Linked DNA regions of Sus scrofa. The protein of the gene in region 1 purifies or fractionates together with the protein of each later gene. This does not show direct contact. Links are inferred from orthologs where the notes say so. Each region holds a gene or a part of one and is shown on either strand. Other genes may lie near its edges.

Evidence for each region.
Region 2: the proteins of FLII (region 1) and LRRFIP2 purify together in Homo sapiens (affinity purification with mass spectrometry; 3 studies listed by BioGRID and IntAct, with this or other methods). This does not show direct contact. The link is inferred for Sus scrofa from reciprocal best matches to the Homo sapiens genes FLII and LRRFIP2.

Annotation. Positions count from the first base shown.
Region 1 is NC_010454.4:60,478,604-60,482,252, forward strand, and holds part of FLII (protein flightless-1 homolog), read left to right. Parts: intron 1-279; coding exon 280-360; intron 361-672; coding exon 673-758; intron 759-846; coding exon 847-1,008; intron 1,009-1,133; coding exon 1,134-1,237; intron 1,238-1,518; coding exon 1,519-1,694; intron 1,695-1,778; coding exon 1,779-1,936; intron 1,937-2,274; coding exon 2,275-2,359; intron 2,360-2,700; coding exon 2,701-2,848; intron 2,849-3,010; coding exon 3,011-3,147; intron 3,148-3,260; coding exon 3,261-3,473; intron 3,474-3,649. UniProt on the Homo sapiens protein: Is a regulator of actin polymerization, required for proper myofibril organization and regulation of the length of sarcomeric thin filaments. It also plays a role in the assembly of cardiomyocyte cell adhesion complexes.
Region 2 is NC_010455.5:21,665,968-21,669,716, reverse strand, and holds the start of LRRFIP2 (leucine-rich repeat flightless-interacting protein 2), read right to left. Parts: upstream 2,822-3,749; 5' UTR 1-2,821. UniProt on the Homo sapiens protein: May function as activator of the canonical Wnt signaling pathway, in association with DVL3, upstream of CTNNB1/beta-catenin.

The DNA.
Region 1 (3,649 bases):
TTTGGAGTTGGGAGGAAGAGGGGCTTTCCCATCAGAAAAGTTCCCTGAGGTGCCCTGTGCTGGGCTCTGGGGTACATTTGGGTTGGGTTTTGAGGTGTGAATAGGAGCTTATTCGTAGGCTAGGAAGGGCTCGCCAAGCCTGGGAGTGAGAGCAAAGGCCAGCCTGGGCCAGCCCTCAGGCCTGGCCTCCAGGGGCTCCTGAGAAGCTGTCCCTCTGTGGTCTCTGCTTCTCCTGAGGGTGGCAGCCAGGAAGCATGGACTCTCATGGTTTATCCCCAGGCCATCGTGGCTCGAGCCAACAGCCTGAAGAATTCTGGAGTCCCTGACGACATCTTCAAGCTGGATGATCTCTCAGTCCTGGTCAGTGGTTACCCACCACCGGGCTCTTGTTGCCAGCCTGCCATTCAGTCCCCATCTGCCACTGTGGTTCTGGGGGCCACTCGCATCCTCTTTGTGATGGACGAACTCGAGACTTAGAGCAGGCACTGCCTTGCCCAAGGTCCCTTGGGGAGCCAGTTGGCTCCCCCGGGCCCCTTCCTCCCAGGGCCTCCCTTTGGCCCTGAAACCCCCTCCCTGCTCCCCTCTTGGTGCCCATCCTGGTCCTCGAGCTGGCAGAGGCCTGGCGGGTGGGGCCAGCCCTGACACCCCTGACCCAGCCTCACCCCGACCCAGGACCTGAGCTACAACCAGCTGACGGAGTGCCCGCGGGAGCTGGAGAATGCCAAGAACATGCTGGTGCTGAACCTCAGCCACAACAGGTGCGGGGCGGGCGGGCAGGGCTGGGGACGGGGCGGCGGTCCCGGAGGCGGGCGTGTGGCCCTGACCCAGCAGCCCTCCCGCCCGCAGCATTGAGAGCATCCCCAACCAGCTCTTCATCAACCTGACGGACCTGCTGTACCTGGACCTCGGCGAGAACCGCCTGGAGAGCCTGCCCCCCCAGATGCGACGCCTGGTGCACCTGCAGACGCTTGTGCTCAACGGCAACCCGCTGCTGCACGCCCAGCTCCGGTGGGCGCCCGCCCGGCCTCCCCGCCGAGCCTCCTTCCTAGGCGTCCCGGCCCGGGGCCGCCCTTGGCCTCATCCCTCAGGCCCACTCTGTCCCGGCCCTGGCCTGACGCCCGGTCTCCCCGCAGGCAGCTCCCGGCCCTGACGGCCCTGCAGACCCTGCACCTGCGGAACACGCAGCGCACCCAGAGCAACCTGCCCACCAGCCTGGAGGGCCTGAGCAATCTCGCAGGTTGGCCGTCCCTGGGGGACCTTCTCGGCCCCTCTTCTTTACAGAGGAAGGGAGCCGCCTGCTTCTCTGAGCGCCTCCAGAGGGAAGAGGGTGTGCCTGTGTCCCCCCAGCCCCCGGTCGCTCTCGGGACCCCTAGTGGTACTGGGCTACACAGACGAAGCCTGCTGTGAGACCCTGAGGGTCAGAGGGCTTAAGTCACGTGCCCGAGGCCCCAGAGCGTGGAGGTCGGAGGGCGAGCCCACTGCCCGGGCCCGGCTGATGCTCCCCGCCCTGCACCCCAGATGTGGATCTGTCCTGCAACGACCTGACGCGGGTGCCCGAGTGCCTGTACACCCTCCCCAGCCTGCGCCGCCTCAACCTCAGCAGCAACCAGATCACGGAGCTGTCCCTGTGCATCGATCAGTGGGTGCACGTGGAGACCCTGAACCTGTCCCGCAACCAGCTGACCTCACTGCCCGTGCGTCAGGGACCGGCGGGGGGGTGGGGGCCCGCGGGCTGCCGCTCCCGCCCCTGACCCGGCCCCTGCCTGCGCCCTCTGCAGTCGGCCATCTGCAAGCTGACCAAGCTCAAGAGGTTGTACCTGAACTCCAACAAGCTGGACTTCGACGGGCTGCCCTCGGGCATCGGCAAGCTGGCCAGCCTGGAGGAGTTTATGGCCGCCAACAACAACCTGGAGCTGATCCCCGAAAGCCTGTGCAGGTGCTGGGGCGAGGCCGGGCGGGGGAGCAGCACGGAAACCCCAGGGTCCCAGCTAGGACCCCCCAGATTGGGTTCCCCGAAGCACCCCTTGAGGGCACCCCGGTAGGCACAAGGCCAGAGCGCCCCCAGCATTTGGGACACGGTGCCACCTCCCATCCTGGAGCTCCCAGTGTCCACCAGCTTGGTCCCTGGCAGCTGCCAAGCCGACACGAGGGTGGGTGTGTTTCCGACACCCTCTCGTGCGTATCCCCGGCCTTGGGTCCTCAGAAGGCCCCTCGGGACAGGGCTGCCCTGTGGGCGTCACAGAACCTCCTGGTCACCGAGCCGCGTCCTCCCAGGTGCACGAAGCTGAGGAAGCTCGTCCTGAACAAGAACCGGCTGGTGACGCTCCCCGAGGCCGTCCACTTCCTGACGGAGATCGAGGTCGGGCGGGGGGCCGCCCCTGGGTGGGGGGGGGGCAGACCCGCAGGAGAGACAGGAGCGGCGTCCTGGGGGCGGCCACAGAGGCTCCCGAGGGGTGGCAGTGCCAGGGAGGGGGCCACATCCTGTGTTCACATCACGCTCGGCAGCATCACCTACCTCGCGAGCTGCCCGCGAGGTCGCCCTTGCCAGCCGGGGAAGCCTGCACCCGGGAGGGCCGCCGCGGAGCCGGCTGAGAGCTGAGCCCCGTGGCCCTGGTGGCTGCAAAGAGCAAGAAACGGGGCTGCCGTGGCCGGGAGGAAGGACTCGGGCTCAGCACCCACTCCGCTCGCCCCACGAGGCAGGTCCTGGACGTGCGGGAGAACCCCAGCCTGGTCATGCCACCCAAGCCCGCCGACCGCGCCGCCGAGTGGTACAACATCGACTTCTCGCTGCAAAACCAGCTGCGGCTGGCAGGCGCCTCCCCTGCCACAGTGGCTGCGGCAGCGGCGGGTGAGCCCGGGGAGGGGGCGGCTCCTCTCTGGGCCTCAGCCCCGACCTGTGCCTCGGGCAGGGTGGCCCGGGCGGGGGCATGGGGTCCCCCGTCCCTCCGCGTGCGGCTGGGGGCCCCGGGGCCGGGCCCAGCCAGGTTCAGCCGTCTGCCCCGCCCTTCAGCAGGGAGTGGGCCCAAGGACCCCCTGGCCCGCAAGATGCGGCTGCGGCGGCGCAAGGACTCGGCGCAGGACGACCAGGCCAAGCAGGTGCTGAAGGGCATGTCGGACGTGGCCCAGGAGAAGAACAGGAAGCAGGAGGTGAGCGGGCGCCCGGGCAGGAGCAGCGGCGCAAAGGCCCTGAGCCGGGCCGCGGGGGGCCAGCCCGAGGGGCTCCCCCGTCAAGCCCGCTCTCTCTGTGCCTGCGAGCCCAGGAGGGCGCGGATGCCCGGGCGCCCGGGGCCAAGGTGCGGCGCTGGGACCAGGGCCTGGAGAAGCCGCGCCTCGACTACTCCGAGTTCTTCACGGAGGACGTGGGCCAGCTGCCCGGCCTGACTATCTGGCAGATCGAGAACTTCGTGCCCGTGCTGGTGGAAGAAGCCCTCCACGGCAAGTTCTACGAGGCCGACTGCTACATCGTGCTCAAGGTGCGGCTGCGGGGCGCCCGCCATCACCGCTCCCGGCGGTGTCCTCGGGGCGGTGGGAGGGGAGGGATCGGCCAAGCCAGTGGGCCAGCGGGCCGGCGGGCAGGCCATCGGGCGGGCGAGGGAGCCTGGAGCCCGAAGGCCGGCGCCCGCTGACCCGGCTGCGCCCTGGCCTCCAG
Region 2 (3,749 bases), on another chromosome or scaffold:
AAGTGGTAGTTGAGAAGCCGCCTGGGGAAATGGCATAAAATACCACAACTTGACATCCAGGGACTGTGGGTTCTAGAACCCCCTGAATAAGCCCACAGTTCAATGCTAAGAACCTGGCTCTAATGCCTTCTAAGGGCTGTTTCTCTGTTGCCCCCTTTGGCGATTTCAGAAGGCTTGGTCACCCTTTAGAGTCCTTGAGAACTAGAGTATGGAACTTCAAGGTTCAAGGCATGAATTATGGTACTTAAGGTCTCTAGGTAGTGAGGCATCAACAGGTGTCTTCATCACAAGAGAATTACCATACCATCAGCCTTGAAAAGCAGCCTTTAATTTCTCACTGTTTCTCTTTCCATGTCACTATTTTTCTTAGACACACGAGCAAACATTGAAACTACGGTTTGGGGCAGTTCCCGTCTTAGCTCAGCGGAAACGAATCTGACTAGCATCCATGAGGACATAGGTTCGATCCCTGGCCTCGCTCATTGGGTTAAGGATCCTGAGTTGCCATGAGCTGTGGTGTAGGTCTCGGTCAACGGTTCAGATCTGGCCTTTCTGCGTTGCTGTGGCTTAGGCCAGCAGCTACAGCTCTGATTCCACCTCTAGCCTGGGAACCTCCATATGTGTCAGATGTGGCCCTAAAAAGAAAAAAAGAAAAGAAACTACGGTTTTTATCTGACATCAAGAGAGCCTTAATCTTCTCAAGGGATCATACTATGTTATAATCTGAATAAAGGGATTAATGATATATTTTGCTAAATCAGTCAAAGATAAAATAAAAGGCAGACTTGCAGAAGAGGACCTATTCAGGTTTCTGAATAATGCCACTGCATCCAATAATGTTTATTAAATTTCAGTTACATAACTGCATACTTAATGGAAAGTTTGTTTAGATTATATTAGGTGTAGATTCACTTGCTTTTTAAAAATTTACTCCTTAGTCACTGTTTTGGCTCATCCCAAACTAAAAGAGAAGGAAATGTTTTGCTATGTGTTCTTGGAAAACTGGGAGAAAGGTCACACTTATTGAGTACCTACTATTTGCACAGCATCTTACTAAGCACTTCAGTATATTATCCCTTTTAGTAACCAGGACCAAGCTTGAGCCATGGGGGTTATTATACCCATTTTAGTAACAAAGACTTTGAGATTTAGAGAAATTATGACACACTTAAGGTAACAAAACTAGTGTCTGAAAGAGAATTTGAACTCTAGTCTCTCTGGCTCTAATTCCCCTTTTACTTTAAGCCATGTTGCTGTACTTTAATATCTAAGAGGGAAATGTAAATGAAGTAACCTATGTCACTTTTATCATTTTATTATGAAAATATGGAGTTGCTGTTGTGGCTCAGTGGGTTAAGAACCCTACACCGTGTCCATGAGGATGCAGGTTCTATCTCTGGCCTCGGATGTAACCAAGCAGCCATGTAGGTCACATCTGGTGTGGCTGTGGCTATGGTGTACGTAGCCTGGCAGCTGCAGCTCAGATTTGACCCCTAGCTTGGGAACCTCCCTCCATATGTTGCAGGTATGGCCATAAAAAGAAAGATACATAGATATAGATATAGATATAAATTTTTTTGAAGGTAGAGTGGTAAGAGGCAGTTTTAGGACTTCTGTGTTTCATTTTGTTGTGTTTTGTTGGCCCCACTCTCAGCGTGCAGAAGTTCCCAGGCCAGGGATCAAACATGCGCCACAGCTGTAACCAGGGCCATTGCAGTGGCAACACTGATCCTTAACCCACTGAGCCATAGGGGAACTCCTGGAACTTCTCTGTTTTTACATCTCTCACTATAGGATACTTGCCATCCATTTGGCACCCAAAAAAACAATTCTAGGGGGAAGGATGGAGTGGGAGTGTAGGGTTAGCAGATGTAAGCTCTTATGTATAGAAGGGATAAAGAATAAGGTTCTACTGTATAGCACAGGAAACTATATTCAATATCTTATGGTAAACCATAATGGAAAAGAATATTTTAAAAAGAATGTATACATACATATACATATATATCTGAATCACTTCGCTGTACAGAAGAATTTAACACAGCATTGTAAATCAACTGTACTTCAATTAAAAAAAAATCCTCTTGTTTTAAGAGTTCATGATGTCATAGGTCTTTTGAATGTTCCCAAGAATGTTATAAGAATGATGCTCTAATTTTGTCATTGCAAGGGGATCCTGACTGAATGTATCACTCTGAACTATTTCACAAGCAGTCTTTCCCTGCATGTTAAATGATTTCTTTTTGCCAAAAATATGTGTTCCCAGATATTTATGGAATATTCTGACATTTGAATGCCCCCAGGTCTGTGTGGGCTGGCTGCTCTAGGGACAGATTAATAGACGAAGGAAAATTTTGAAAGTGTTTATACAGTTTTGAGGAATGAGGTGGTAGGATCTGTACATTTTTGTTCTTTTCATACCAGATCCCTCACATTTTTCTTTGATGATGTCAAGAAATAAAAATTTTCCTTCCTCAAGAACAAGTACTCATTTTTGTGGTTTTTTACAAAATTGACTTTTACAAACACAATACTATGTTTCACTCTACACACATCTCTGGAAAATGTTAGTTCACACATTAAAAATAGGATGCTAGGAGTTCCCGTTGTGGTGCAATGGAATGAATCTGACTAGGAACCATGAGGTTGCAGGTTCAATCCCTGGCCTTGTTCAGTGGGTTAAGAATCTGGCATTGCCATGAGCTGTGGTGTAGGTTGCAGAGACAGCTCAGATCCCGCATTGCTGTGGCTCTGGCGTAGGCTGGCAGTTGTAGCTCTGATTTGACCTCTAACCTGGGAACTTCCATGTGCCTCAGGTGTGGCCCTAAAAAGCAAAAAAAAAAAAAAAAAAAAAAAAAAAATTCTGGTTAACTCCTTAACAAGACTATAGAAACCTAGCAAAACAATAATCTCTATGTATATTTGCTTTAAGTTCTTTTCAAAGATTCTTTTTCACCTTGATTTACTATTTTTTAAAAATTTTTTTTGGGGGGGCGATAGTTATAGACTCACAGGAAGTTAAAAAATATTACAGAAAGGTCCTATGTACTCTTTACCCAGTTTACCCCATTGGTAGCATCTTACATACCTAAAATACATTTTAAGAAATTGACATCTTGCTATCTTTCAATTTTTAGTTTCCTTTTATGTTTCATTATATTAAAATTTACCATTTTTCAACAATTCATTTCTATTATATCTGGCTCTTCTCCCTTTCTAAATCAGCACATGGCAAGATCAGTAAACTTGCCAGGGTGCTTGTATGGAATAATAGATTTACTAAAAACTTCTATGGGTCAACACACTTAAAAGTGATTCATTTGCAAGATTTTTGCTTTTTTTGGCTCATACTATTCCATGCCATCCTTCCCTAATAAACCTGTAAATTTATACAACCTGTATATGTGTGTGTTTTCATACATCTTCTGACCACTGAAATGTCCTCAAAGAGATTGCTATTAAAAAAGAATGAAGGGCGTTCCGTTCCCGTTGAGGCACAGCGGAAATGAATCTGACTAGTATTCGTTAGGGCGAGCAGGGTCGACCCTGGCCTCTCTTAGTGGCTCAGGGATCCGGTGTTGCCGTTGCCATGAGCTGTGTCATGGAGATCACAGACTACATTGCTGTGATCCCGCATTGCTGTGGCTGTGGTGTAGACCAGCAGCTGCAGCTCTGATTCGACCCCTAGCCTGGGAATTTCCATGTGCTGTGGGTGCAGCCCTTAAAAAGAGTGCAAAGCTCCTCATTGA